Oryzias latipes: one gene and its partners. The protein of the gene in region 4 interacts with the protein of the main gene of each other region in a pairwise test. Links are inferred from orthologs where the notes say so. Each region holds a gene or a part of one and is shown on either strand. Other genes may lie near its edges.

Region 1 (8,461 bases), on a different chromosome or scaffold from region 4:
TCAATTGATCTCAGGAAGAATATGGATTTTTCTTACATCCTCTACGTTTTTACTATGACCCAAAAATGTGTATTATATAATGCCCAATTCTAGACGCTATTGGTTTTTTGTTCCCCTTGACCCTGTTCAACATAATGCATCAGTGAAGTGTGACAGAATGAGGTCTCAGAAGATTCGCAGACGCCCTGAGTCCTGTCATTCTTATCATCCGCAGGTAAGCTTTCCACTCGTTATATCCTCGTGCTTATCTTTTTATTTTTGTCTATATGTTATTTGTAAAGTATTAAATAGCAACTTGTTGATTTGAGTAATAACCTGCAATAAGTTCTAATCAAATTGTGTCTCTGCTTGGGTCCTGCAGGAGAATGCAGACGACTGTGGAGGGGCATCTGTCATTTCACTGTCATATGTCCTCCTCCTGCTATGTCTTTCCATTGCTGGATCAATTTCCTGATGATGGACAACTTTCTTACAACGTTTTTAAGTCTTCTTGCTCTCATTAAAAAAAAGGAAAAAAGTCTTGGACTTCTGAAGCATTATATTTTGTAAGTTTAAGAATGACAACCGAGTAAAGCAAGTTAATGGATTGCTGTTGCCATGGACACTTTCCAGCAAACTCACTCCTGCACGCCTTTGAGTCACAGATTGAAAATGGACTGAAAAGATGAAGGTTACAGCATCTGTTTTTAAAAGGAATGGTGAGTCACAAGTTGCAGCATAAGTAATTAGAGCAAGAGTGCAACACATCTCCAGTTGTCCGTCTCCATCTTCCTCTGATCTGAAGATCACAGGCAAGGCCTAGAGCGCATTTGCAAATATGCACTTCAGCCTTCAAGATCCACATTACTGCATCTGTTTTTGTTATATGTTGCATTTGAAAAAATAGTTAGCGTGAAGAGAAACTTGAGTTGGTAAATTGTATCACAGGGCATTTTTTAAAGGGGTTTGATGAATCAACCAAAGCAGACTAGATGAAGGCCCAGTCAGAAATGTCTTATATGAGTGGTATCAGAAATATTTAAGTTAAAAGTTGGAAGGGTCATACTTTTATCCCTAATTTTTACATGTTTTAAGACTAATTACATTTTACCTGCCACAATTTTAAAACGTTTTTCTGCCTTTTTTTGTCTTGTGCACTTTCACCATGTAATTAAATTGTTCTTGAAGTTAAAGCAAAAAAAAGTTTTTCTTTTGCATAACATTTTGCCTCAGGTTTTTTTTTAAGTATCTGTAATGCTCTGCTGAAAAAAATAAGTAAACAACTTTAAAAGAAAAAAGAATCACAATGGTATCTATCTAATGATAATAACATTTGTTAATGTTGATTTATTTACCAATAAATTACAATGTATTTTTATATTGATTTAACTGAACGCTTCTTTTTTTCAAACTTCTTTTTTTCTTCCATTTTTGCATGTTAAAAAGATTTACTTCTAATATATTTGTTACCTTTTTTATATTCTTTTTAACTAAAACATTTAAAATGGTCTGACTGAAATTATTATTTTTGTTGTTGTTGTCTTTGGTTGTGTTATTGACAGAGGTAAAATCTAATATATATGAAATGTTTATGATTTTTTTTAGGAGGAGCTAAAACTTGGAATGTGATTTTGTTCTTTTGTTCTGTTTTTTTCCTTTGTAAAACAAACCTGTAAATTGTTCTTATGAAAGTATTACATGGATTAAAGCCATTATTTATAAAATAAAAGATCCACAAAGTTGTTTTTATTACATTTACTTTGACTGTGTGTCATTTCTGTTTGTCTCCTTTTATTCACCTATTATTTATAAACTTATAGTTTCATATAAATGAGCAGTAAATTTATAAAGATATAGTATGATAGCAGTGGTTGTTTCAACAAATTGGATTGTGAATGACAGATGATTTCAAAAAATAAAACTTTATTTTCCAATAAAGTTTTACAAAATTACTTTTTAAGGTAAAATCCTATGTGTTATAGTTATTATTGTATCCTTTACATCAGAGTAAGTATTCAAATGTTGATCAAAAGCCAGATTTAAATTTATTTATATGACATTATTGATAAAATGTCTAATATAGTGTAAAATGTGAGTCTACAAATAATACACCAAAATAGAATGTTTTGTGTCTTGTCAATGTACTTAAAATATTCATTCATTCATTAATTCATTTTCTTAACCGTTTATTCCCTTTCGGGGTCACGGGGCTGCTGGAGCCTATCCCAGCCACTTGGGCGTCTTAAAATATTTATATTTTTAATTTGAAAAAAATATTATAGTATAATTACAGCAATACCTAATACACAGGAAACTATATAGTTGGAGATCATGTTTCACTCTTCTCTTTACACATAACTTTGCTTTTTATTTTCACTTTTAACTTTGTTGTCAAGAATTGTTACAATTTTTATTAAAAGACCATTTCTTCCAGCGATTTGTGTCAAATTTGCTGAAATTTTCAATCAACAAAACAGTAATGGCAGGTGCACAGCTGTACGTAGAAAAAAGCGTGATCTATTCTATCTATTTGAGTTCTTTTAGAAATTGCATTTCCATTGTTGTGAAAATCATTTATTAATAAATAAATAGATATTGAATTCCTCTTTTAAATGCGTAATTACAAAATACATAACAGAATAATTTATATTTTTTATAGATGTCGTATTCAGTAGTATGAATGTTTAAAGTGAAATGCAGATGATCAATGAATCCGTCATTCCCAGCAGAGCAGGCTGTAGTTAGTGAATACGACCAGCAGGGGCGCTGATGCATCTCCCGGAGTTATTGTTTGTAGCTCCGATCCTCTGCACCGCCAGGCGGACGGAGGCACGAAGCAGAGGAAAATGGCGGACGGTGTGGATCATATCGACATCTACGCCGACGTAGAAGAGGAATTTAATCAGGTATTAAAATAAAATATTCTCGAGTTTGTTCAGTGCTTTGAAGTTCTTTTTCTAATTTTTGCAATGGTCTTTTCGGCGTTATAGGAAAAATAGGTGTAATTTGATGCTCGTGCTAGCTTCTCCACTAGCAATACACACACAGGCCTCTGTCAGTCAGTGTGCTGCGTTGGTTGCAGCATAGATAGCAAACTTCTGTACAATAGATCTGCATTTTTTATTCAAACAGTAGTACACATGTGGAGGTAAATGTGATGTGGGTTATTATTTAGAATATGTACATTTTTGTCCATCAGCAAAGCGTCTAGCAGCCTTTTCAGTGGAGCGCGCGTATAGGCCGCGCAGTGTGTGCTTTCTTTTTTTTTTTTTCTCCCGACGGAGGCTGTTAACCAAACACGCATTTCATGATAAGCTAGCTGGTGTTGGTTAACTTCACACGTTTAATTGGTTTACTGTATTGGACGTGGGTTATAGTTTGGATCAAATGTAACTTGGTGTACTTTTAAAAACGTCAAAAATAAAAACAAAAGGGGAAAACACGAGTTACACGGCTTCCATTCTGGCAGCAGGTTGGGTCATCATGCATGGTGGGTGTTTTTTTTTATTCTTGCGCGCGCGCACATTAAAAACCGCGCCCCCCTTTTTAGACCGCATACTAAAATCATAACTTACTGACATTTGTTTTGCACAGAATTTGTTATGGTATTATACTGTCGGAGCTAAACATTTAAAAATAAATGTTTTTTTTCCTTGTTTCTTATTAAAATTGTTTAGCTAAACTTAATTAAGAGCCAGTGACTTAAAAATTATTAGTCATGTTTTAGTTTTTTTTAACATTTCTTTAAGTTTACTACTCTTTTTTTCCTCATAAAGCGTGACATAAAATAAAGAGAAAAAAATGCTTTTGGAATTTAATTAATTTAAATCAATTTATTATAGTAATTTGCTTTTTCTAGTAACCATTTTTACTTTTAAATTCTGGTGTAATTTCTTTTATTTCAGCTTCTTCTTGTTGACTAACTCTCTAGCACTATTTGGTCTCCATGTTTTATTATAGCTGCAGCAATTTCCAGTAAAACAGGGAGCTAAGTAAGCGTCTGGTGATATGCAGTAAACTTCTATAGATTAGGGGTCAACAGCATTTGTGACATAAAGTGCCATTTTGAAATTTAGAATGTAAAAAAGTTCAATATGTCTAGAAATGTATTTAATTCCCAACAGCAGGCATTTTGGCATTACCTCAAAGACGTTCTTTCATAACAATATTGCACAAGGAAAATAGGCCAAACTTAAAAAGTGAACTTAAATAACTTAAAACTATGTTAGTTTGAAACAAAAAGTACAGCATTTGTGGTACATCATACTGTATACGTCATGTAAATTAAATCTATCATGGTGTTTTTATTGCATGTAAAAGTAAATGTTTTACTTTGACCTTAGAATGCTAATTATAGTAATATAAATTTTCCACAATTGGACATTCTTCATTTTTTTTCACCCCCAGTAAATGGAGTGGCGATCAGCTGTACTATTCATTTTAAAACTTTTTCTCATTTCACATTTACATTTGTCAGAACATAAAAAAGTCAGGGTATAATCTGACCTTATTTGGTATTATCAACAAACTGAGCTTATAACTTCATAAATGGCAGTCGCTGTGACATCCTAAATATAATTAAAAAACCGGCTGTGCATTCATTAACCTTTAGCGCGTTTCCCGCTTATGCATGCGCTCATCGTATTGCCCCACCTGTCATCTCACCGCCAACAGCTTCAAAACACAGGGTCATTACGTCACCGTGGCAAACTTGTTTTTTTTGCCTGCAGTGCACAATCATTTAAATCACCCGTTCATAAAGGCAGAAAGTAACGTACATTGTGTGAAACTAGGCCTGCACAATATATCGCAAATTTATCGTTATCGCGACATTAAGCTGTGCAATATGCATACCACAAAAGACGGCGAAAATCGCAATAAATGGTTACCTTAAATGTGCTAAAACAATCTCGTGGCAGCTTGAAATATTGAACAAATGAAATAAATCCCTTTATGCATTTAACCAATCGGAAGGACCCATTTACGTTGTTGATCAATCAGATGAGCCCTTTTATGTTTGATGTTTGCCTCCTATGTCGACAAGGGTCATTTGGAGTATAATTTTTAAACTGTTGCAGTGAAATGGAAATTATGTTTTTGGTTGTTTTGCTGTTTGTTTATATACCGCGAATCATATCGTTATCGCAATATTAATCACCAATATCGCATATCGCGAGTTTTCCTCATATCGTGCAGCCCTATGTGAAACTATAAAAGTGGTTGGGGTCACAGTAACAGCGCTGCTTGAATGGACCATTTCCTTTTGGCCCCATAGGGGTGACAAAAGCTCATTGTGAGAAGAGATTGTCACTGTTTTTAATCCCGAAAGATGCAAAGAGGCGACAGATCCAAGTGGTTAATGTTGTCACAGCCACTGTCTTTCCCTCTGCGTCCCAGTTGTGGCAAACTGCCAATTCGATAAGCAACTTACCTTAGATTAGACAGATACATCTGTTTCAATCGTAAGAAAATAAATCGATTCGTTGATTAATCGTTACACCCCTGTACATTACTAAAAATAATATCCATCCATAATATCTTTCACTTAAAAGATGCATTTCTACATCCCCAGTTTTTATAAACGTTGAGCCACAGTTTCAGGTTCTTGTGGAATTGAACCCCACATGTTTTGCTTTAACTGTGTTAACTCATTTTTCTTTTAAAGGAATCGGAGTATCCAGTTCACGAGCAGATTGACTTGTACGATGATGTGATATCCCCATCTGCCAATAATGGAGATGCTCCAGAAGACAGGGACTACATGGATTCAATGCCTCCATCTGGCGGTTCTGACGGAGGGAAGAGTAATCCACCCAATGTGGTGTACACCTATACAGGCAAACGGATTGCTTTGTACATCGGCAACCTTACATGGGTGGGTTTCAACCATTCAAATTAAATAATTAGAAGTTTCATTGTCAATTTCGACTAAATGCTAAGAAAGTAGTATTGATAATTTGTCTCTTTTTATTATTGTTCTTTTTTTACAGTGGACAACAGATGAAGACCTGACTGAAGCCATTCGTTCAGTAGGCATTACAGATGTGCTGGAGATAAAGTTCTTTGAAAACAGGGCTAATGGCCAGTCAAAAGGGTGAGGACAGTAGTTTTTGTTTGTGTTTAACTCTTTACACCGAGGCTTTAGCTTCAATGTTAACGTTCTTTGGATTACCGTGACTCTTCAACTGTGGAAAAAGCAGCCTTACGCTGATGTGCAACACTTTACATTAATGATGTGTTGCATATCGGTGCAAATCCTCTATGAAAACCTGCTTTTCTCCAGATCAGAATCAGCCGATTCGGTTTGATCACGTAAATGGCCAAAGAGTTACGGTATGTCAAAGAGAGCGTGTGTTATTTATGTGTTGACGTCAGAGTATTTTTTATTTTATTATACATTCATATGTATAGGAATCCATGTCATGTGCAATTTATTGTATGCATTTTGTTTAAACCGCGCAGAGTTTATTCATTTTCAGAGTTGTGACGAGACTCAAGACAATTTGAACAGAAGTAATTAAAGTTGTGCCACCACAAAACCCTTAAGGTGATGCTTACTGTCCACCGTACCATTATATAGTTTGATGATTTCCGGTTTGAGCTTACACCAGGGGTGCCCACACTTTTTTGGCATGCGAGTTACTTTTGAGACAAGCTCCAAAAGATCTACCTAGATGGATGGATGGATGAATGTAAATAAAGTATTTTCTGTCTATTCAAAAGCTACACCGTAAGAGTACACAAATCTTTGTGAGGAGATAGCTCTGTTGTGTGTATTAATATTATTTTTATAGTAATACACAATTTGAACAGATAAGGCGGTTTATTATGTAAACAGATAGCAGCGACGATCGCGTTTCATGCTATGCTGACACTGTGTAATAGCAGGACATTTCCAAAGCGCAGCAGGCTTACTGACGGCTGAGCGAAGGGCGGCCCCTGCTCTGTGGGCAGGGCTATTGAAGTGCGTGCTTGTACACACTGCTGCCTGAGTTGGCGTTTCTGTCTCGCTTTCAATGGAGGACGCATGCATGCCTGCCCAGCCTCAATAAACGGTCCTGCAGGCGCAGAATGTCCTCCGCCTGGGACCTGGCACACAGCGGGGCTGGTAGCGTCTTTCTGATGGCACAAAGCGTCTGCGCTTAGTGTATTCAACCTTGCATTTGCAATGACGTATGGATCAGAGGATGCCTGCGTGGATGTTGTTTGTGTGAAAAAACTTCACTGTGAGGATGATGATTCAAATGTGGAACAACTACAAAACCTGGTGGCCTCATGAGTTCAACATTTTATAACTAGGATGTTTTTGCTTTGCATACTTATGACAGGGTGTCTTGTGCTGGTTTCCTTCAGGTTTGCTCTTGTGTGTGTTGGTTCTGAGGGATCATCCAGGAAACTGATGGACCTGTTGTCCAAGAGAGAGCTTCATGGTCAGAATCCTATAGTCACACCGTGCAATAAACAATCCCTAAGCCAGTTTGAGATGCAGTCACGCAAAAGTAAGTATTTCCAGTTTCATCTTACGATTTTCACAAATCTATTTAATTTGCTACAAATGAAAATATATTGCAACTTGATGAATTTTGAGCCATTTGAAACCTTTTATTTATTTATTTAGGTACTCAATCTGGTCAGATGTCAGGGGAAGGTAAAGCTGGTCCCCCTGGTTCAGGCCATCGCTCCGGATTCTCAATGGGCAACAGAGGTCGAGGCAGGTATCCTGGTCCACCTGGTTCTGGAGTAGATCGTTTCCCTCCTGGCCCCATAGGCCCTGGAGGCCCACCACCCCACTTTCCTGGTTAGTTTCTATTAGTGAGAAATCTGTGCTGGTTTGAACTGAAGAGGGAACTATTATAGGAGTTTTATGTGTCTGCATATAAATGGGAATGATCTTTACTTTTGTCTTTTTTGCTTTGCTCTCTACTGTTGTTTTCATAGGTGGAATGCAGGGTCTTCCACGTCCTCCCCCTGGTCCTCCTGGCCCCCCTGGTCCCGTAGGACCACCCCCTCCTGGCCAGGGTCTACCCCCACCCCTCGCAGGTCCTCCTAATCGTGGAGACAGACCTCCTCCTCCTCCTGTTCTCTTCCCTGGCCAGTTTGGTCAGCCTCCACTGGGACCTCTTCCCCCAGGCCCTCCTCCTCCAGGGTATGGTCCTCCTCCTGGCCCCCCACCTCCTCAGCAAGGCCCACCTCCTCCGGGACCCTTTCCTCCTCGCCCTCCGGGCCCTATTGGACCACCATTGGCTTTGGCCCCACCTCCACATTTGCCGGGCCCCCCACCAGGTGCTCCTCCACCTGCGCCTCATGTGAACCCTGCTTTCTTCCCCCCACCTGGCAACAACAGCTTGCCCCCTAACGACAGCCGAGGGCCACCCGGGCCAAACGACCCTTATGGACGCCCACCACCATACGAGAGAGACTACGGTCCTGGAGGCCGGTAAGAGTAGGGCAACTGTATTGTTTTGCTTGTTTTTTCAAAGGG
Region 2 (7,813 bases), on a different chromosome or scaffold from region 4:
ATAACTTTTATGTCCCTTTAGGGGCTCAGTATAATCTTTATAAAGGAAGAGAAAGAACGTTTTACATGATACAATAGTAATAGTTCTCCGTTTCAAGAAATATGATTTTTTTTTTAATTAAAAAAAGCAAATTGTAAGGTATTTTTGAGAAACATTTTGTAAATTTCTTCAGTTTTTAATTAGACACATTTACTTTAAGATGTCAAACATCTCAAAGTTTTCTTTTTTAATGAACCTTTAAAGTACAAAAAGTATTTTACCACAAAACCAGAAAAACAGTTTGAAATTATTTTGCTAACTCCTTGTTGTAAGGGAAAAAAACTGATTTCAAAATGTTGTGGTTGTTTTTAGCGTTTTTATTTAAAAAATGTACCATTTTTGTGACTTTGGTGCAGATTGTGATCACTTTAGACAAAACTGTTGTTGTGAGTCAGCACCACAGCTAGATTAAAGCCTTCAGTTGTATCCTGGTTCACTTATTTGCATTCAATCAGAGACTAAAGCAAGATAGTGTTTTCTTTTAATTTTATAACCTGATCTTCATCACTCACATCACTCATCTCCATGACATGATCACCCTTTGATCGTGAGTTCTGCCTTTCAGCTTTTTCCTCACGTCTTTTCTTTCCCGTGTCACTCTTTAGGGTGCAGGATAAGAAGAAGAGGCATTCTTATGTCCGAGTTTTAGGATGGCCAGTGAAATCTCCTCTATTCCCAGTCCTGTTTTCCGCCAAATTGACAAGCAGTTCCTGATCTGCAGCATATGTCTGGACCGCTACGAAAACCCCAAAGTCCTGCCCTGCCTGCACACTTTCTGTGAGAGGTGAGTGGAGTCACTGAGCTCTGACATGTTTTACAGGGAGGATTCTTCTACATTTTTGGGGGATTTAAACATTATTCTGGAGTTAATGTGGGTGTTAATACCTCAGGACGTGGCGTTAGCTTTGCTGTTTGTCTCATCCTCTTACGTTGACTGCTTTTTGTTTTTGACACAAAAGGAGAAACTGTTGATGTGCTCAGATGTTCCCTTTACTCTGGTTGCATTTTGCATCACCCCTGTGCTCCAAATGTTTCAAAACTCACTCTACCAGAGTGCATCTGTAATTTGATATTAAAGTTTTTCTCAGTCGCTTTAGTACAATTCTCAGATCAGAATTGAAGTTTGCAAATACGTGTGTGCATTTCTCATAACAATTTGTACAAACAGCAAAACACTATGGATTTCTTGCAAAAGCCTGTAACTTGCTCAAAATCTTTAGTTCATCTCTGAAAACTATGTCTTTATGTCATTGAACATGTCAGTGCCATCAGAATGTCAAGTCCTTGTGTCATTGTCTACGAACAAGACAGTCAAATTACTTAGTCATGTTGTCAATATAACTGTGTACTTTAGAGGGAGGTTCTGATGTAAACTATGGCTAAAGTTTTGATGACAATTATTGTAAAATGGAAGTTACACCTTTTTTGTTTGATTGCAAGAGACTGGACAAGATTCACATTTACACTTTTATTGTTCATATTGTAATTTGTTGACAGACCATGTCATACCAACATAGAAAAAACCCACTGCAAACAGTAACACAAAGGGAAAAGAAAGATAGGACAATATTCTGTACAACAGTACAGGCAGTGCAGTAGGAATTGGTGTGGTCTTCCTACACCTCTTGTCGTTCCTGTATGTTAGGCCACAAATTCTCATCCACATCACAGCGAATATCCTCTCTTGCAATGCAGCGAAATATGTTTGTCACATTATGACAACTTGGTCAACCATTTTGCAGTTAATGACTTATACGATGAACTAATGACTAGGTGTTTTGAGGAGTAAGACTATTGCACAGTGAACTATATAATACATTTTGATCAACATGACATAAACAATTGATAATGTAGCAAAGAGCAGAGAATTGTACATTATCATTTGCATGTATGTACCAAAGCAAATGCAACTTGTTCAAAGAAGTGAGAAACTGCTTATATGATGTGCACAAGTGACATCATGATGTGAAGATTGAACAAATAGTTTTGGGAATTTGATTCTTATCTGAGAATTGTACTAAAGCGACTGAGAAAAACTGTAAAATTGAAATCTAAGCAAATAAGAAAATCTTTTTAATCAATTTAGATCATAAAGTTATTTAAATGGCAACATATTCTTGTATCTTAAAGCCTAATTTGAAATGTGATTATTTTAGTGTATATAATAAGGCTCTTAGAACATATTTTTTATACCTCTGAGCTTACAAAATCACTGTCCTTTTTTACAAAGAACTGACAAAAAACAGGATAAGGTTCCATAATGCACAAAAACTGCATAATAAATCAAATAAATAAATAGATTGGACCTGAAAAAGAAAGAACTGAACTTTGCAGTGACAAAATGTGTCGTAAGTTAAAAAAAAAGGTTTTGTAACAATAATGGTTGAATAATAATAGAAAATGGATGGACAACAATAGTTAGACAGGACTGTTTTTTTTTTGCTGCGGGGCAAGAATAAAATTTGAAAAGTCCAAGATAGATGTTTATGGAAACCATTCACCAAACTATAAGAAGTACAAATCAGTGATAGACTTTCATTTAGAGGACACCAATGTAAGTCTAACACTAGGTACACTCCTTCTATGGGCTTTCACAAGAATAGTTCAATACAAGAAAAGTAGAGCTCAGAAGGCCCCTCTTGGTGCTCTTGACACAACTTCAACAGCTAAATCAGCATCTCCCCTCATATAGTCTGCCCACTCACTGACAGAGGCTACATGAAAACTGGTTTCATTGGTTTGAGGTATTTGGTTGCTTTGATTTGTAAAGCAAGTTGGAGCAACCAGCTCTGACACTCAAAGTTAGCCGCGTACTCTGTGCTGGCTCACCTTTGGTGTGAAGTTGCTCATTAGCCTCAATTTCTGATCATTCACAATAAGGAAAGAAACACATTTAAGTTGTTGTTTGTTCATGCTTTCTTTGGTATTCTCTCCACCCACCTTTAGGTGCCTGCAAAACTACATCCCGGCCCACAGCCTCACTTTGTCGTGTCCGGTTTGCCGCCAGACCTCCATCCTGCCGGAAAAAGGTGTGGCGGCATTGCAGAGCAACTTCTTCATCACCAACCTGATGGATGTGCTGCAGCGGGCGCCAGACAACTGCAGCCAAGAGGACACCATTCTTAACAACATCGCCTGTGTTGCAACAGGCCAACTGCTGTCTTGCCCCAACCATGGAGGCAGTGTAAGAACCACTACCTCCAATTAGTTAAAAATCAAATTGAAACATACGAGAAGTTTCTCCATATTTAGTATATTCGTTGGTACTAGTCCAGACTTAATGCAAACTTTTGCTTTGTAATCTCCTCTTTTCCTCTAACCTAGGTCATGGAGTTTTACTGTCCTCCATGTGAGACAGCCATGTGTCAGGAGTGCACAAGTGGCGAACACGGAGAACACCCTACTGTGCCTCTCAGGGATGTCGTTGAGCAACACAAGGCTTCATTACAAGACCAACTTGACGTTGCCAAGAAGAGGTACAAATGGACATGTTTCAATGCACCACAGTATTCACTGGCCATGTGTGAATCAAAGTCAGGCCTACTTTTTTTTTCTGACTTTGTTGCATGACATCTAACCTCTGCGTGTTTCTTTCAGGTTACCAGAGATCGACTCAGCTTTGCACATGCTGTCAGAGATTTTGCAACAACTGACAAATCAGAAAAGCTTAATTGAGGATGACATCCACACAACCTTTGATGAGCTTCAGAAGACTCTCAATGTCCGCAAGAGTGTCCTTCTCATGGAGCTGGAGGTCAACTATGGTCTCAAGCAGAAGGTGAAGAACTTACAGTATTTGTGATATTTAGATCAGGGTTTATATTGTTTCTTGTGGGGACTGTTCCAGCTCTGTTTCATTTTTAGTTTATTGAGGTCTTCTTAACCCTGTTTATTGGGGACACTGCTCATTTGATAGGTGGTTAACCACTTTCAAGAGGAGTTGAGGTAGCATATGCATCACCCCAACCAACCATCCAATTACCTATTGGCATAGGAGAGCGTTGTCAGTCCCTCTAGGATTTTATTCACATGGGCAGCTAATGATTTAAAACTCACTAACTAGTGTGTCGTGACCACTCCGGTGCCCATGGGGGAAGCCAGTGCATCATGCAGTTTAGTGCTCAGTAACATTTGGGTGTGTCAGTAGAATGCAGTAGGGCTTTGATTGTTTTCTAGGATTTATGAAATGTGCTGCAATTGCATCTATGTCTACATAATTCCTCTTTGTCCAACAACCTGTTTATAGTTTAATACACAAAAGTGTTTGAATGTCACAGATTATTTAAGTTCTCCTTCTAAAAAAGATGAGAGAGGTCTGTTAAAGTCATCACACTTCAACTAAGAGACAGAACGTAAAAATCCAGGAAATCACGTTGAATTGCATAATTTAGACTAACGTATTTGTATAAAGAAGCAGGAAATAGAAATTTAGCATCTGCAAACAAACAGGAATTCTGTTTCTCACAGACCCCATTGCAGATTAGGACGATGGATCTGTATTAAGGAAAGGATGAATAGGACCATGTATGGTGAGATTTTAGGCTAAGACCTCCTTCCATCAGTGATGGCTTTGAGGATGAAAAGTGGTTGGATCTTCCAACAGGATAATGATCTCAACCACATCAGCCGGGGAACAAAAGAGTGGCTACATAAAAAGTATCTCAAGAATCTGGGGTGACCTAGCCAGACTCTGGACCTCAGAGGGAGATGAAAGTCAGAATTGTCCAACAACAGCCCCAAAAACATCACAGCTCTGGAGAAGATCTGCATGGAAGAAAATAGCTAAAGTGGCAAAGGAGGACTTCCTAGAGTATTTTTTACATTCTGTTTCTCACAGTTGAAGTGTAATTATGATGAACATTACAGACCTCTCAGTAGGACAATTTATAGAATCGGTAACTAACAAATACTATATGCCTCACTGTGCCCATTTTTTTTAAATTGTAAGATGTGGACTTAAAGAAAATTCAACTAGTTTCTAATAATAAATTATAAATAAAATAATTACAGTATTAAATTTAGTGATGAAGTACATAAACTATACTAGTTAGACCCAACAGCATACAACTGGTGTGTTCTTGTGCAGGTGCTTCAAGCCCAGCTGGATACCCTGCTGCAGGGGCAGGAGGGCATTAACAGTAGCTGCAACTTCACAGAGCAAGCCCTGAACCATGGCACAGAGGCCGAGGTGCTCCTGGTGAAGAAGCAGATGGGTGAGCGTCTCATGGAGCTGGCCAGCCAGGAGCTGCCTCTGCACCCTAAAGAGAATAACCAACTGGACTTCCTTGTGGAAACAGAGGGACTAAAGAAGTCCATCCACAATCTGGGAACTATTGTAACCACCAATGCTGTGGCATCTGAAACGGTGGCAACAGGTGAAAGCTTACGGCACTGTGTGGTGGGAGTGCCCACATCTATCACCATAACAACCAAGGACAAGGATGGGGAGTTGTGCAAGATGGGAAATGCACTCATCACTACTGAAATCTCCCCACCTGATAACAGCAGGGACATTGGAGAAATACTGGACAACAAAAATGGCACTTATGAGTACATTTTCACTGCTGCAAAAGAGGGCACTTTTAACCTATCTCTGCGCCTGTATAACCAGCACATCAAAGGAAGCCCCTTCAGAATTAAAGCCATCAAGTCCATAGATGCCTGCCCAAAATCTGATGGGACAAAGAAAAGGCTTAAGTCTCCAGGTAGTGGACACATTAAGCAGAGGGCCATCAAGAGGCCAGCCAGTATGTACAGCTCAGGACGGAGAAAGGAGAACCCTATTGAGGATGATCTCATCTTCAGAATTGGTAAGAAGAACATTTCACAGCCCACCTATTTATGTAAAATAAAATAACTACTAAACTTTTAACATCAGTAAGTTAAGGTGTAACAATAACTCAAAAAACACAGGGACACATAACCAATGTGTTATAGGAACCGCTTTGTTTCCCTTTAAATGTAATTTAAGTCTCCATAAAAAAGCGCCTCTATAATTTCAACCATTTCCAAAAAAAATATCAGAGTTGGTGTCTCTCAAACCTATTTTGAACGTTTCTCAGTTGAGTTTTGTGAAGTACGTAAAGTATGTTAGACATTTTTGGCAATATAACACTAACAAATTCCTATCCAGATTTTACAAGGCATGTCTTGGACATTTGTGAAACACAAATCACTGCGGTTTCGCGAGTAAATTGTTTTACATTGTCTTTTAATTTTGCACCCAGAATGGTTGCATCCTATAGAGTTCCTAGCTTTGGCTACTCCACCACAAAAGGAGGTTGCATAAAAATGGTAAAAGAACACTAAACATGAGAAGAAAATAACTAGATGGTAAAATTATCGGTCCATGCAGCATGTAATTGTACTTAACAAGAACACTATGAAAATGTGAGAACAAGGAGTTCCATTCACAAAGGAATAAAAAGAACCTAAAAAACATAGGATTACTTCAAATTGAATGTTATGGTTCACTAAAAAAATCTTTTTTGCTAGTTTGTATTTTCTGAGTTTTTATGTCCTTTGGGTAATTCATTTTGTTTACTATGACAAAAAAACTGTAATGAGTGAACAAATGTGAACAAAATAAAAATCTAATCTTAGTACAAGTTGGCCCATCTTAATAAACCCTCATAAAAAACATGCATTTAAATTTTTGATTTCAAATTAATGTCAGTGAATGTCTAAGTTGTCAACATTTATTAAACTCTAAAATAACACCCTGAACCAAAAATCACAGTTCAATATGAGTTTTAAATCAAGTTTTTATGTCAAAAGTTTGGAGCAAAAGGATTTTGACTCATTTTAATAATAATAAAAACTTCCTTATTTCTAAACCTAAAAAACATTCTCGACTGCAGATTTTTGAGAGAAGTGTGGAAAGATGTAGATCAAAAGATAAAGTTAAACAACTCAAAACCTGTAAAGTATCTGTAATTGTTGTGTAATCATGTGCTCCTAGCTTGATTAAAACATGACAACAGGTCTCACATTGATGTTCCAATACAGCAGTGCTTTATGTTTTACAGGCACGAAAGGAAGAAACAAAGGAGAATTCACAAATCTGCAGGGAGTGGCTGCCTCATCTCTGGGAAAGGTGCTAATAGCAGACAGCAACAACCAATGTGTTCAGGTACAAAATACTGCTTCCACAGTACAAGGACTACGTCCAAAGATGGCATGCTGGGATTTCTCTGCAGTCTCCTGCACTTGTGGTTTTCTAAGGGTGCGGTGCAACTTACAGTCTGAGAAATTCCAGCTGTAGTTTTGGATTTGACAACTGAACATTATAATATCAAAACACATCTGCTAGGCCATTTTGCCGACGGTAAAAAGGCTGAGGGACAGATAATAAATCTGGACCAAACTCGAGCCAAAAACAATGGAGAGGGATCTGTAATCCTCTACAATACTCCAAGGATGTGAATGTAATGGTTCCTAAACATGGATTTAGATTTTTTTTAAGACATAGTTATCCTTTCACAGCGCTCTTTTCTTTCAAACTTACTTTTCTTTCTTGTTTTGAAGGTAGTAACATAGCAAAATTGGATTAAAAGTTAATCTTTTAATCTGAAAGTATTCATGCAGATGGGTTTCTTATTTCAGATGTTTTCAAATGATGGCCAGTTCAAAAGTCGCTTTGGTGTCCGGGGCAGGACTCCAGGTCAGCTGCAGCGGCCGACGGGCGTGGCCGTGCACCCAAATGGAGACATCATCATCGCTGACTATGATAACAAATGGGTCAGCATATTTTCAAGTGAAGGCAAGTTTAAGG
Region 3 (6,893 bases), on a different chromosome or scaffold from region 4:
TGAGTCTGTCTCTTCTTTACACTTTCAGCTCTGCAGAACACAGACGCTCAGGTTTGATTGCTGATGAACTCAACTTTGTGAAAAATAATCAAAGCATTTCAAACTTTTTCAATTTCCCTTTTAAAGTATCTATTTTTTGGCCAAAGCTTTGAGTTTTTCCCCTTTCATGCCCACAAACCTCCAGCTTTTGACGAATGTTTTCAAAGTTCTTGATTTTAGGAGCTAAAGTACCAAACAAAACACAAAAAGACCTTATGAATGTGACAAAACAACAGAAGTAGCTCCGCCCACTGACATGTTCATTTGGATGCTGAAAAGACGAGGTAATGTCTAAAGTGGGATGGGCATGTTGAATCTACTCCGCTCACCTGAAGGACCAAAAATGACCATTGGGGCGAACACCTGCCAATCAAAAAGACACACCCCTGATAATGCCAGCATTGACACTCAAGAAAAAAGTAAATGTTAGTCTATTTTTCCATTAAAATGTAACATTTACTTCTGACACTTTCAAATCCATCCCCTGGACATGGAAGTGGATCAGATCCAGTTCTTCCTGTCAGAACCAGTTCTGTTTAGGCAGTCAGGGACGAGGCATTTCTGCACCACCCTCTGTTAAGAGTCCCACTCCAATCATCCTTTAATCTATTGTAAATGCGTTCCCAGTGGTCTTTTATTTATGATTATGCTGCAGCCAAAATCCGAAAACCTGTGACGGTTTCTGCAGAGCGGCAGTAGTTCATTAGAAATGTGCCTCTGAGTTGTGGACGGCCCTTCCCCTTCCTTTTGCTGAGAGCTCAAGGCAGAGAGTTTCTAGCCTGCCCAGCGGTTTTTTTGTGGCTCAACTAAAATCTTTTTCCAACTGCATTTTTTCATCAGCTCCTGATTCACAATGATTTAAATAAAGAAATTCTCAGAAATGCAATTATAAGCTGAATTTATGTCTATACATGTCCCATTATGTCTCCATAATCATAAAAACGCCACAAAAACATGTTCTAAATACCAAAAACGTGATTTTCATCGGGGTGGTTCTTTAAATCAGAAAGCGGCTGCAGATCCGCAGTAGGTGGGATGATGTATAAACAGCTCAGTTTCCCGGACAACCAACCAGGAAGACGGAGGCTCACCTGCTTCCTATCTATCGCCCAGCAGGAGCAGCGGCAGCACTTCCTGTTTTTAGAGGATCTTACTTCCCGGTGCTGAAAGATGAAGGAAGCAGCTTGGAGAACAGATCAGAGCTGTGATGGTTCCAGCAGGAATCACAACAGCATTCAGGTCCAGGTGGTCCATCCGTCCACAAACAATAGGAGATCGGATTATCAGGAACAAACAAACTGGAGATTTATATTGAAAGTTATTAAAGGGCATTCTTTTATTTGTAAAATCACCGCTTCAAACATTGACCAACCCCTGAAAAAACCCACTTCTCAGTGAGAACTTGCTGTTATTCAACTCAGATAAACCTGTGAAGAAGAGTCTGACTGAAGCTTCATCTGATGTTAGCAAAGAGAAAGCAGAGCCGAGTTTGGATTTTCACACATTCCTCTGGTTCTGAAGAGGCTGAAGAACAAACCTAAACGAGTTCTCTGGGTTGATGCACACACAACCCCCTAACCCTGCTGCTTTCCCTTCCTCCTGCAGCGAGGAGCGCATGACGGCGGCGCGTGTCAGGAAATGCGTCAAATGCGGCACCGGCCTGGTCAAATCGGAGGGATGCAACCGCATGTCCTGCCGCTGCGGCAGCTTCATGTGCTACCTCTGCCGGGAGCCCATCACCGGCTACAACCACTTCTGCCAGCACGCCCGCTCCCCCGGGGCCCCCTGCCGCCACTGCCACAAATGCTCCCTCTGGACCGACCCCACGGTGCGTCCTCCTCTGTGCATGTTTGACACTGACTGAAGCTAAAGGGGAGGAGCTTTAATGACACCATGATGCGGCTTTCTGTGTTTTTCTGCAGCAAGACGACGAGCGCATCATTCAGGAGATCCAGAAAGAAGGAGAAGCAGAGCTCAGTAAGAAGTGTGCAGGTCAGGAAAAGCCATTTTCTCCATCTTTGAACCTCCTCTTCTTCCTGTCAAACCGCTTACAGACATGCTCTGCTGCTGCTTTGATGTTCTGGATCCAGAACGGCGTCACAGTTCAGAGCTTCAGAGGTTTTACTGCAGCTTTTGATGCAGAGTTTATGAAATGTTTCTGCGGGATCAAACCTTTCCAGCATCATGTTTGCAGACGTTTGCAAACAAAAGTTATCATGTAAAGTGAAATCCTTTCTGTCTTGGCAGACACCAGAAACACATCAGCGTCTTTAGACGTCAGTTTTCCTGTTTTCACCATAAAGGGTTTGCGCCTCAGTAAAACTGTATTTTTTCAGACTAAAGTTGTTCCGGAGGATAAGTTGCATCAGCCAATATGATAAAAGAAGAAAATATCGAACATACGTCACACTTTTGGGAGAAATGTAACAAAATACAGGAAGAAGAAGGGAAGAAGAACAGACTGATTTTAAGTGCTTCACTGCCTTAACCGCATTTAGCTTCATGCAACATAAGTATAATTATTACCATAACCATAGCATAAAGAACATGCTAATAACTAAACTCTTTATATCGCTTTAAATCACTAAATCTGATGAGTAACTCTGAGCGGAGCTTCTTCTTTTGTGTTGCGGATTAGAAAGCTGAAATCTCAAAGCAGGTCTTCTCTGGTTGATTCCATATTGTTGATTTGGAATTGCGGTTTGTTTTGTTTCATTTCTGACCTAGTTTTTAGTGGACTTTTTTCAGTTCTTTTGAATATGTTCTATGTTTTTATTGAATGAAAACAATAATTCAAATATCAGCAATGGCAAGAGCCTAAAATTGTTCGTCTCCAAAACTTAATATTGTGTCGTCGTTGATCAAGCAGCTTCTGTTGCAGGTCTTTTAATCTGGAGGTGTTGGGATTATCACAACACATAACAGACAGAAACATTCAAACAGCCTGTTATTGTTGTTGGAAGCAGCTCATCAGACACCACAAGTGGCCACGCCTCCTAAAATCTATCTGCTCCAAGCGAGCGTGACACCACCCATAGAAAAGAACCCGTCTCCAACAAAATAAAGTGAACACAGACGCCGCCATATTGGAGCCAGACAACGTCAGTAAGCAGTGATTGGTCCGAGTCGGCCTGAGTCAACATTTCTATGGCAACCACTCTCACCAATCAGGAATGAGCTTTTTAAAAGCTACACCCCTACCACTGAAAACAGGGTACTTGAAATCTGTTGATGAAAGTTTTTTAGCATTCAATAAGAGACCACATGCTTTTATGGAGGAATCTGATTGGTCAGTTTCTAGTTTAGTTCTCAAATACAGTCAATGGTTCTGTCACTCCGCAGCGCTGCAGACCAGGACAGGAATGATCTGCTCTTATCAGTGCAGTGTGAGCCACAAAGTCGGCCATCTTTCATCTCTTCATCCTTTCCTCCCTCCTCTCTAAATATGCAGGGAAGAGGGTCGGCCCGCCTCCAGAGATCATCCCAGAGACCAAGCGGCCGTGTGTGGGCCCCGCCCCAGAGAACCCACCCAACCCAAACCCGGCAGCTCCCCCTCAGCCACAGGCGGTGCAAGCCCCTTTGTTTGTCCCCCCTCGCGGCCGCTTCCCGCCGCCACCTCCTCAGGGCCAGATGTTCCATCAGATCATCATACCCCCGGCGCCGTATGTGCCCCCGCTGCAGCATCTGCCCCCCATGAACAATAATCACCAGCACGAGCACAACCCACCCTTCAACCAGCGTCACCGCAACATGGACCTGCCCATGCACTATGGGCCCCCCCCATACTACTACAGACGCTACTAACCCCCCTGCTGGGTTCTGCGTTTTGACTGTGAATCACTCCGTTTGTATGTTTCAGGTTATAGACCCCCCCTCCACCCCCCAGGTTCCAGTTTGACCTCGAGTTGTTTGCATTAAACAGACAGTTGAAGCCTTTTTCCAGTTTCTACAGAGATTTTTCAGTAAAAGATGTCTAAATAAATATAAATCAAAAGGTTGGCCTCCCCCTCCTGGATCTTTTGTCAAGCATCGGGCTTTCTAACAAAGTTTTCTGTTTACAGTTTTGGAAAACATCTCAGTGTGTCTCTCTGCCCCCCACCCCCGTCAGAATGGGCTGACTCATGATAGCTGAGCCTCTGGGCGATCCACCAATCACATGCAGGATCCTCCCCCCCCCCCCCCCGTCCAGCTCTGCAGTGACTCAGAGAGGGGACTTCTTTGTTCAGCCATGTGCGACCCATCACCCGCTCGGAGGGCAGCCCCCCGCTTCTGCCCTGGGGTCCTGATTGACCAGAATTCTACCACATTCTGATGCTGGGAGGCGGCAGCAGCTGCTCTTCACTCTAATTTAGAAACCTCATGACTGCCCCCGCGGCCCCCCTGTCGGTGACCCCTGACCTCCCATACCACAACCATTTTCTGTCCTGAAAACATGATGACTGAGACAAACATCACGCGCCCACGCCGTGGAATCTCCGGATGTTTTGGTTTAGCCCCTGAACGCACCGCGGAACTCATCAGACTTGGATTACAGTCCGAATTAAAGCGAATTATCAGATTACAGCTCATTTATTTCAAAGAAACAAAGGAGGGGCTTAACTGACACGATTAGACCAGGGGATAAATTCCATCGTCTTAACTCTGTTTATTAATAATTGGAATATTTCCTGCATTTATAGAAAATTTAGTTTGATTCAGATTTATTGGATTTGGTTCATTTATCTTCAAAATATTACGTTTAATGGATCCCTCATTTCTTTTCTCAAACTCAAAAGTTTTCTGTAAACTCTCACATCAGCTGTAATAACCTCAAACACAGGAGGAGATGTGTGATGAAGGCATGTTAAAGCTCTCCTGCTGCTCCTCCTCCTCCTCAAGGACCGCGGGCATTTGGCAGCATTCTTGCTCCCCTGACAGTTATAGCTGCTCTGCCGCCATCGGCTTTGTTTGGGGCTGTTATTTTTAGCATTTTATCTTTAAATATTGTGTACATTTTTGATGAGCACACCCTTCACAGCTGCCCCCCCCCCCAACGCTGGGCCCACATTGCAGCTGCTCCTGCTGCCCCCTCTGATGTCACCACAGCCATTTTCTTAAGAAAAACCCTTTAAAAGACAAATTCAAAAGTGGAAGGAGTACAGATAGTTTTTTTCGTGGAGCTATGGAGAGAAATAAGTTTCAATAAGTGTCTGTGTGTAACTTTTGCGCACACACAAATAGGGTGAGACTAATTTCTTAGGCGTTTTATGGCTCATTTTCACTTTTACTTAAGTGGGAGCTCTGTACTTTCATGCTAGTAATGACAAGTATAGAGGGAGATAATGGAAGAGAAGAAATCCCTTAATCAGTCTGGAAAGAACTTTGAATCATTTCAAAGACTCCAGGAAAACTGACTACAAACAGAAAACATTTCAACATTTTTTACTTTCGGCAAATGTGGTGGTAGTGTGATAATTGGGGCTGCTCTCCAGCTTTACAACTTCAAAACTTCAGAGGAAAGTTGTTTCAAGGCACGGAGACGGCTTCTTTCATCTATAGCCGCGTTTACATGGGCAAAAGTAATCGGAATGAACGCCTGATCGGAAAGAAAATGCGTCATGTAAACGCGCCGTTCGGAATACTCTGCCCCGGTCAGACTCATTCGGATCAGAATTTCTTTCCGATCGAGATAGGTGGGTTATACCGATCGTTTATCCGATCGTGGAGCATGTAAACGGTCATTCCGATCGTGTGTCACTGCTGCTCTGGTTTACGTCACGCATAGACGGTGTTTCGCTGAGAGAAAGCTTTGGAGCGCATACGGGACCGACCAGCTCTGCGGACACCCCGTGAAAAGCGCCGCTCCGCTCTCGCCCCGCTGGCTCTCCCCTCTCTTACACCCCTCACGGGGGAGATTCGGAGGAGGAGCGCTCACTCGGTCCACTGGCACCCGAGTGAGCAGAGCAGCTGGATTAATAATGTTGTGTCGGGGGGGGGGGGGGGGGGGGTTACGTGTGCGTTTTGTTGTTTTGTTATGTGTGGGAGAATTCAGACTGCGAGCCGTCCCGCCGCTCTGGGTTAGCGGCTGCAGGACTCAGGAGGACCCGTGTTCGAACAGAGCTCGGGGCGCCAGCTCACAGAGTGGCTTTGGGGCGGTCTGTGTGAACTTTCAGAGCAGAAATAAATGTCGCTCAGTCCTTAGAAAGCTGCAGATTGCTGCGTTTCTCGCACGGTCCTGGATTTTGTGTCCATCCATCAGGCTAATGATGTTAGCCCGTGTTAGTCTGTCCTAAGCTTTCGTCCAGCTTAATTCTTCCACAAAAAAAGCACTGACCACACAGATTAAATATAACGATGAGCGAACAGGCAATTCATAATATTCATGACATTAATAAAAGCACGTTTGGAAGATCGTCTCGTATGTTACCGAGCTGCTGCATAAATATGGAAGCGGTTTGTTTACAACGGGACCTATATCCGCATCCGGGTGATTTTTACACTACTGCGCATGCCCAAATGATTCATTCCGAACGAGAGTGTGAGCCATGGGAACGTTTGTTCTAATCGGAAAAAGGTTTTCTGTGCCCATGTGCACGGGTGAATTTTAACCCGACCATTGATCCGATCAAGATATTCTGCCCATGTAACCGCGGCTACAGTGATGCTGGAAGACCCCCCTCCCCCCCATCCCTCTCTCTTTGTGCCACACCGGTTTTTAGAAAATGCTCGGTTGGAGCATCGAAGATGTCGAAATCATCTCCCTGCCTTCAGCAGCTGGTGTTTCCCTGGCAACAGCTAGGAAGGCCAAGGCGTGAGGTGACTTTAATGTGTCTGCCATTTTGTGCACAGCTGCTCCTCCCTCCCTGGAGTTGCCC
Region 4 (8,349 bases):
CTGTGAACTTACTGGACAGCTCTGCGGTTCTGTCACCGGTGGACTCGTTGGAGTCTCCTCATGGCTACGTCTCTGACGTGGCTTCTCCCCCCATGATGACCTCCCCTTTCCAGCAGTCCCCGTCCGTGACCCTGAACCACCTGCAGGGGATGTCTGACCCCCACCTGGCTGTCGGCCACATGGTGATGCCAAACAAGCAGGAGCTGGCCCGGATGCAGTTCGACCCGCTGCCTCCCCGTCTGACCCACCTTCCGGTTCCCGGCTCTGGAGGTCAGGGGTCAATGAACGGCCAGTGTGACTGGCTCTCCAGAATGCATGGCGCCATGAGCCAAACGGGCCAGTTCAACCCCATGAGAGGCGGCCCCCACCAGGGGGCACAGCACGGGATGATGACCACTTCGCTCCACAACGGCCACCCCGGCTCCAGCCTGTCCCAGATGATGACCTACCAGGGAATCCAGAGCACCAGACTGGGACCTCCGGTCCACATGATGCAGCAGCAGCAGATCCAGCAACTCCAGAACCTGCAGCAGCTCCAGCAGCAGAACCTCCAGCTCCAGCACCAGAACTCAAACACAACCAACAGCCAGAACTTCATCAGCGGCGATCTGACTTCTCCAGAGCTCCAGCCGGGCTCTGGCAGCTCCAGCATACCCATCCACACCATCCTCCCCCAGGAGAACCAGATCATGCCCTCCTCCATCAACCAGTCCATGCCCAGCACCCAGTTCCTGACCCCGCCCTCCCAGCACAGCTACTCAGGCCCAATGGACAACACTCCAAACCATCAGGTGCAGGTTCCCGACAACCCCTTTCTGACCCCGTCCCCCGGCTCCCCGGACCAGTGGTCCAGCTCGTCTCCTCATTCCAACATGTCCGACTGGTCAGAGGGCATTTCGAGTCCAGCGACGAGCATGCAGTCTCAGATGGGGCACCTACCAGAGCAGTTCAAATAGGAGGCTGGTAGTGTGACGCCCGCACGGGCAGCTGTATAGTTTTAAATAAAACCGAGCTGGAAACAAGATTTAATAGGACTTTATAATCTTTTATACTAACAACATCTGCATCCTTTTTACTTTTTATTTATTAATGTCTCCTTATTATTTATGTGCCTGCTTGTTGTCGCCTGTGGCGTTAGTCCAGTCGCTGCTCCTGTAGTACCTCCTTCTGCCTGGAGGGGGCAGCGTTACACACTGGCTATTTATTTTCTCAAAAACTTGTAGTCTTTGCTTTTTTTGTATATTATTTCTTCATCCCTGTTTTGTTTGTTGTTTTTTTTGTATGATCTGAAACCCTGATTCAACTAGAGCACATTTTTCAGTTTCAGTGTTACAATGTCGGGAAATATTAGTTGCTGCTCGCTGTGAATTTGAGTAGAATGTGTTTTTTTTTTCTTTTCCCTTTTTGTTTTGCCGGACGGGTGGAGCAGCCATTCGTTTTTATTGCATTCGTGGATGTGATACGTTGTACAGAGTACGGCCATCTTGGAGATTGGCAGTGAAGGCAGGCTTGTGTTAAGTCCCGCTGGAGAACCGGCCCGTTGGTCGCCATGTTGGTGTGTTTTTTTGTTTTTTTCCCCCAAGAGGAAACAGGAAATGCCGTATTTCCATCCCTCCGGTTAGTTTGAGCCTATGGCTGTTTTTCCTTCTGTAAATACGCTTCAAATTCCCCTCGTAAGCAAGATTTTGTTTAAGAAATCGAATACTTGGACGTGGATTGGATGGGATTTGCACCAACAGTAGCTTTCTAAAGTATAAAGTATAGGAGAATATATATTTTGTATATTAAAACCCCCAATGCAAATAAAAAAATTGAAAGGAAGCAGATTAAATATATTTGATTAGATAAAGAGTATGGTTCTAAAATGTTCATATGAAGTTGTGAATCACCATAAAATCACTGAGAAAACTGTTGGTGAAGTTCTCCATGATGTTCTTTGTGAAATTCTCTCAAAAAAAAATCCAAGCTGTTAAAAAAAAAAAACAGCAAAATGTTTGTTTTCTTTGTCAAATTTGACTTTTCCTGAAATGTTTTTTACTTTGATTTTTATCCTGTAAAAATGTCTTGTTATAATAAATGGCACTTGCGATTCTCAAAGTGATCAGTTTGGGGTTTTTGTAGTCCTAAAAGAAACTTAAATGAGTGTTTAGTTGACGTTGTGTACTCTTGTCGTTTTTTTATTTTTTTTAATTTTTATTTGCAAATGAACAAAGCAAATAATCCGTTTTCATTAAAAGATTTCATGGTTGTCACGTGCAAAAAATCAAATTTACTGTTAAAATTAGTGATTGATAAATGTATATGACTATTGGTATCTTTAAATTATTTTAAAAGTCAAATTGATATTTTAAATCACCATTTTGTGGGCGGGACCTGCAGGTAACCGAAGAAACTAAAGGTCATTCAAAACCTACAGACTCACAGATTATCTTCTTTCTCCTCATCTTCCTCTGTGAAGATATTTTTTCCATGTCTCCATCTAGTGGCATGAATTTAAAAGCCACAATTTACCTTTTATTCACTCTGGTAAAAATAAAGTAAAATTCAGATGCAGATGAATGAAGGACTCAGTATTGAAACACCACTGAAATAGTTTAATGACTGATCATAAACAGTTAGAGTATTGTTGAAACAGGTGAATTGCTCTTAAAAAAAGTTTAAATTTCTGAAAAACAGTTAAAGTACAGGGGAAACAGTTGAACTACAGTTGGAAAAGCAATTGAAATCCTGTTTGACAATAAAACAATGAAAATAGTGCTGGAAAATCAGCTAAAGTAGTGTAAAAACAGCTGAAATGTTGTGTTAACAGCAAACATACTGTTCAGAAACAGTTACAGGATGCTGAAGACAGGTGAAATGATGTAAAAGGACTATTTGAAATTTTGAAAAGCGGTTGATTTAGTGTTTAAATAATGTTGAAAACAGCTGAGGTGCTGTTGAAATAGTTAAAAATGTTGAACTACTGTTAATTAATGTTAATTGATTCCCGTTTAACCTTTCTTTCCAATAAATTCGATAACAGTCTTAAACAAGTCCAGATTAAATAATGACTCAAAGTCCCATAATGCACCAGCACTCGTACAGTTGCGGGTCAGAGTTCAAACGTTACAGTAAAAATAGGATATTCGCTGGTTGTTGCCCTGTGTGCTTAGCGGCAAAAAACAAACAGCTTGGCGGCCTCGGAGCTCGTCCCTCGGTTGTCGCCGGTCCGAGAGTCCGAAGATGACCGCCAGCTGATCGGTGCCGTTCGGTTGTTGGTGGATTTACCCACGGCGGCTAGCTGGGGGCTCGCGCTAGCAGGCTAGCAGGCTAGCTCGCTGGGACGAGCCGAGGGGAGCAGACAGCCACCGCCGTTCGTTCGCCAGCGTCGCCGGGCCCCGAAGACCGCGGCAGCCATGTTCGTCCAGGAGGAGAAAATATTCGCGGGGAAAGTGTTGAAAATCCACATCTGCACCATGGACGGTGCGGAGTGGCTGGAGGAAGTCACGGAGGACACCACGGTGGAGAAACTGAAGGAGAAGTGCTTGAAACATGTAGGTTTGTTGGAGGTTGTTTGGGCTACTTTGTTGTTTTGTCGTGTCACTGCCCTGCCGGGGTGTTTGCTCTTTGCCCTCGGGGTAAACCGTCTCCAGCTGTGTATTTATAGTAACTGGGTAGACTCTGCTATTTATAATTGAAGAGGCTGGCAGCTTCTCTGCAGCTTCTGCAGCTAAACTGTCCTTTTCTGTCCTGCTCTATTATTACCCCGCTCACCTCTCCTCTCCTTATATGGCCCTGGCAGGAACTCAACGGGGGTCTATTATTTCTCCTTTATTAATACTTTAGATTCCTATTACTTCTGTGCTGACTGACTCCTCTTGGGTTCCCATCCAACCCACTGAATTATCGTGAAAGAAACTTTTATTTAATTCAAATTCACTCCACTCGGTGAACAAAACGTTGGTTTTTATTTATTTATACTTTTTATTCCTGGAGAATTTGGACTTTTACTCGATTATATTTATGTCAAATCAAACAGTTGTTTCCAGGTGAAGAAAGGTTTTTTTTTTTTTTTTTTTTTTAAAGTTAGTAACTAAATCTCGTTGTTGCATCAAATGAATGAGAGCAAAACAACATTTAGAAAATATCAGGAAAAAGACAAAAACGACCGACATCCGCAGCTGGTAAATGGGTAACTTTGATCACGGTAACCACGGTAACGGCAGCTTCACTGCTGGAAGAATTCAGCATCCAGAAAAACTTTGTCACTGCGTGAAGATGGGTTTTAGTGAAGATAAAACAGTGTTGGTTAGTAAAAATACCACAAGCCTGATCAATCAAACATTTATACAAGAAAGAAACACTGACAGAATAATCAATCGGTGAGTTAAATCCTATAATAGAAAATATTGAATGTTAACTCCTTCATACCTGAATTTATAAAACATATAGTCATTGTTTTGTCCTTTCCAGGTGATGGTAAATGAAGTCCTGGATTTATGGCTATGAACGGACGTCAGAGAAGGTGTAACCTAAATAAAGATATAGAATCATAGAAGTGTTGGAAAAACAACTTATTCTCAAGCTCCAACATTAAATCTGACGAATTGTTATTTGTTTTAATTTACTATTTGGACAAAATAGAAGATTTTAAAGAATTTTTTTTATTCTGTGGGTCAGTCTTAAAATTTCTAATAGAGAATGTGGTTTTATTAGTGGTTTATTTGTGCTTTATGTGCTACTTATTAGTTGTGCGACTCATCTGACAAATTTATTGGAGAAAGTTTTGATTTGGCCAAAAAATCTAGTTTCTCTTATTTTGATTTTATTCCCTATTAAACGTTTTGTTGTTGTTGCTAAAACGCTGCAGTTAAATGTAGTTTGAAAGATGATCCTCGTTGTACGTTTTACTTTCTCCACAAAAACCGTCAATTTAGTTTGTGTAAAATGGAAACTTTCAATCCTAGTTACCCTGACAGAAACATAAATAATAAGAAAATTGGAGAATAAATTAAAAAGCAATATAGTAAAAAAAACACTTTAATTTCTTTAAAGATCAGTATAGCACCTTAAAAAATAAAGTTTTTATTTATTATTTCTATGACAAACATGGTGTAGAGAAAACAAAATCATTAAAAAATAATCAAAAAACCAATGAGGTAATATTCAAATACACCTTATAAAAATTGCTTGGGTTTCCTTTTGTTTAAACAACATTTTGAGCAGCGTTTTGATATGAATGCTTTTAATTTGAAAAGACAACGTCAGCTTGGAGTTGACTTCCTCCACAACTTGCTGCCACTGAATCAGAAAACCTTTATTGTCACCGTCCGCATGAACAATGAGACTAAAGATGTCAAGATGCAAAAACTATACGGACATACATGCACACAAATGTGCACACAATATGTGGAATACAGTAATCTAGGAAAAGTCTGTTGTAAATCAAAATATTAACAGAATAATTACTGTCCATTGAATGAAAAGGTAATAAACATAATAAACAGTAGTTCTGTGACTAAAGAGCGTTGGGTCTTATTGTAATGATAAAGCGCTATATAAGAAGACGCCATTGACCCTTTAGGTTAGAATGATAAATACACAAATATACATGTACTCAACAGATACACACATTTGATTTCTTCTGTTTGTTTTTTCGTTGTTTGATTTTGCAGTACGTTCATGGAAGTCTAGAAGACCCCAAAACTCTCACCCACCACAAGCTCATCCACGCTGCTACAGAGCGAGTCCTAACGGACGCCAAAACCGTCGCTGACGAAAACCTCAAGGACAAAGGTACGCGGCGTCACGTTTGCAACCTTCTCGCTCCCGTTGCTGCTGACTTCCCATCATTTATCTGCTTTGTGCGTTTGGTTTCAGAGGTCCTGCTGCTCATAAAGAAAAGGCCGCCGCCGACGCCTCCGAAGACGGCAGAGGTTGGTTCAGATGAAAAGGTAAACGCCTTCTTTTTATGAAAAGGCTCCGCATGTTAAGCTCCTTATTAGCAGTTTTTTTTGTTCGTCTCTTCTCAGAAGAAACAGGACACCAAAGCTCCAGACAAAGACGCCATCCTGAAAGCGACCGCCAGCTTACCCACACGGCACACGGACCGCACCGTCACGCAGCACAACATCAGAGATGTGAGCGTTCAAACTCCACGGCCTCCGGGTCTGCAGCCGCCCGCCGCCTTACGCTTCCGCTCTTTGTTCCAGTTTCAAACCGAGCTGAGGAAAATCCTGGTTTCTCTCATCGAAGTTGCTCAGAAGCTTCTAGCCTTGAATCCCGACGCTGTGGAGCTCTTCAAGAAAGCCAACGGTGAGGCGGACGCTTCCTGTCACGCCTGTACACTAATGTTGCTGCTGGAGAATGTGACTTCAGACAGAAAAGTCTTTTTAAATGAGAACAAAACATTTCCCAAATGTACATAAATCTTTGATCGGGTTCAGATCTTTGCCTTCATTCCAAAATCCTGGACGTATTTTTCTACGAAGGTTTGAACTTTGAGATTTGAAACAAGAGAGGAACGTGTGAAAAAGTGTGCAGGGAGTCGGTTTTGTAAAAATCAAAGATGACAGCTTGGAGCTATTTTAAACGGTAACTCCTGTGAGGAAGCAGGGAACGCCGCGGACGGTCAGTTCTCCTGAATTTGGTCCTTTGAACATCTGAGCCGACGTTTTCCTTCTGAAACTGTTCAGTCAGCAGTTTTTGCTCGCCATTCATGAGTTTTACTGAGAGTGATATGCGCACTAAAGGTGGTGTTTCTTCGTCACAGCGATGTTGGATGAAGACGACGAGGACCGCGTGGATGAAACGGCGCTGCAGCAGCTCGCTGAGATGGGTTTCCCTGAGAGCAGAGCCATCAAAGCTCTCCGACTGAACCAGTAATTCTGTTTTCTGAACAGCATAAACACGCATTTGTAGCACAGAGTGGCTGTGTGTGGCTGGACCACCGTCCTGATTGTCTCTGCTTTAGCATGTCGGTGACCCAGGCCATGGAGTGGCTCATCGAACACGTGGACGACCCCTCTGTGGACGCGCCGCTGCCGGGACAGGAGTCGTCGGGGGCGGCGGTGGTGGCCGCGTCGGGAGCTGCGACCGGGGCTGCAGCGGCCGCCACGCCGGCACTCTCAGCGTCCGCCGCCGCCTGCTGTAACCTCCTTCGCAGCCAGTCCAGCTCAGACGAGAGCAGCAGGCAGGACGAACTCACGGAGATCTTCAAGAGGATTCGCAGGAAAAGAGAGTTCAGACCAGATTCAAGGGTACGACAGTCTCTGCTCTCTGAAAAGGTTTTTTTATTTTGACAGGATCTTGTATTTATTCATAGTTTCAGTCGTCTGTGGATTTAGTCTCCCGTTCAGGCTGCTGTTTTTCCCCTTCAGGCCGTCGTGGCTCTGATGGAAATGGGCTTTGGTGAGAAGGAGGTGATTGATGCTCTGAGGGTCAACAACAACCAACAGGACGCTGCTGTATGTATCCACAACAATGTCACTGCACCTCCTCCCCCCTCACACACATCAGATCTGATCATTTCAGTAGAAAAGTGAAGTTGACTCTCTGTCAAACAGAGAATCCTCATGGAAAGCTGCTGTTCTTCAGTGTTTGATAGAGACGCTGCTGCTTCCAGCTGAAACGTTTGATGTTTCAGGATATGTGTGTATAGATTTACCGGTTTGTTTTATTCTAACCACACTTGACTTCCTGCAGTGCGAGTGGCTGCTGGGCGACCGAAAACCTTCTCCTGAAGATCTGGACAAAGGCATCGACACCAACAGCCCGCTCTTCCAAGCGATTCTGGAAAACCCGGTCGTCCAGCTGGGCTTAACCAATCCCAAAACCCTGCTAGGTATCATCCAATCCCACTGATCGGTTTTAATTTTAGATGATCTGTGTTTTTGCCACAGTTTCTCTTGAAAGCATTTTTAAACACGTTAGCTTAGCGTTAGCTTTCTTTTTGTGGGCGTCTGATCAGCTTCAGATTAAACCGCTCAGGGAATCGATCCCTCGGGAGGTTTTTGTGTAAAAACACAACTTTATTTAAAATCTCTGGAACACTTTAGCAGAAAATGCATTTCATTTCGCAGATATTTATTTTCCTTTTCTTTTTCACACCGAAAAAAAAAAAAAAAAAATTTCACAAGGAGGAAAAGTTCAGTTGGGGTTATTACTAAATTTGGGGAAAAAGGAAAAGACAGAGCTTTATTCTGATATAATCCATTTCCATCCAGATGATTCCAAAAAGGCTAATTTATTTAGCCTGTTTGCTAATAAACGATGAATGTGAACTCTAGGTCTGATCAGAACTACTGACTGTATGTCAGAACTGGAGCGAGTGAGCGTGACATCACTCATACTTCCACAATAAAACCAAAT

The links.
Region 1: the proteins of ubac1 (region 4) and cpsf6 interact in a two-hybrid assay, tested with the Homo sapiens proteins (2 studies listed by BioGRID and IntAct). The link is inferred for Oryzias latipes from reciprocal best matches to the Homo sapiens genes UBAC1 and CPSF6.
Region 2: the proteins of ubac1 (region 4) and trim2 interact in binary tests that used the Homo sapiens proteins (3 or more experiments, as listed by UniProt). The link is inferred for Oryzias latipes from reciprocal best matches to the Homo sapiens genes UBAC1 and TRIM2.
Region 3: the proteins of ubac1 (region 4) and rnf216 interact in binary tests that used the Homo sapiens proteins (3 or more experiments, as listed by UniProt). The link is inferred for Oryzias latipes from reciprocal best matches to the Homo sapiens genes UBAC1 and RNF216.

Annotation. Positions count from the first base shown.
Region 1 is NC_019881.2:14,389,225-14,397,685, reverse strand, and holds the start of cpsf6 (cleavage and polyadenylation specificity factor subunit 6), read left to right. Parts: upstream 1-2,774; 5' UTR 2,775-2,825; coding exon 2,826-2,885; intron 2,886-5,644; coding exon 5,645-5,854; intron 5,855-5,969; coding exon 5,970-6,073; intron 6,074-7,332; coding exon 7,333-7,478; intron 7,479-7,597; coding exon 7,598-7,777; intron 7,778-7,905; coding exon 7,906-8,416; intron 8,417-8,461. UniProt on the Homo sapiens protein: Component of the cleavage factor Im (CFIm) complex that functions as an activator of the pre-mRNA 3'-end cleavage and polyadenylation processing required for the maturation of pre-mRNA into functional mRNAs.
Region 2 is NC_019859.2:20,975,632-20,983,444, forward strand, and holds part of trim2 (tripartite motif-containing protein 2), read left to right. Parts: intron 1-644; 5' UTR 645-689; coding exon 690-823; intron 824-2,985; coding exon 2,986-3,223; intron 3,224-3,363; coding exon 3,364-3,515; intron 3,516-3,636; coding exon 3,637-3,817; intron 3,818-5,125; coding exon 5,126-5,849; intron 5,850-7,067; coding exon 7,068-7,171; intron 7,172-7,644; coding exon 7,645-7,812; intron 7,813-7,813. UniProt on the Homo sapiens protein: UBE2D1-dependent E3 ubiquitin-protein ligase that mediates the ubiquitination of NEFL and of phosphorylated BCL2L11. Plays a neuroprotective function. May play a role in neuronal rapid ischemic tolerance.
Region 3 is NC_019866.2:19,117,437-19,124,329, forward strand, and holds the end of rnf216 (E3 ubiquitin-protein ligase RNF216), read left to right. Parts: intron 1-1,644; coding exon 1,645-1,867; intron 1,868-1,961; coding exon 1,962-2,031; intron 2,032-3,490; coding exon 3,491-3,843; 3' UTR 3,844-4,037; downstream 4,038-6,893.
Region 4 is NC_019867.2:2,167,437-2,175,785, forward strand, and holds the start of ubac1 (ubiquitin-associated domain-containing protein 1), read left to right. Parts: upstream 1-3,395; coding exon 3,396-3,533; intron 3,534-5,654; coding exon 5,655-5,775; intron 5,776-5,859; coding exon 5,860-5,933; intron 5,934-6,011; coding exon 6,012-6,119; intron 6,120-6,191; coding exon 6,192-6,294; intron 6,295-6,751; coding exon 6,752-6,860; intron 6,861-6,952; coding exon 6,953-7,238; intron 7,239-7,358; coding exon 7,359-7,445; intron 7,446-7,683; coding exon 7,684-7,822; intron 7,823-8,349. Other genes in the region: notch1 (neurogenic locus notch homolog protein 1), read left to right, coding at 1-956.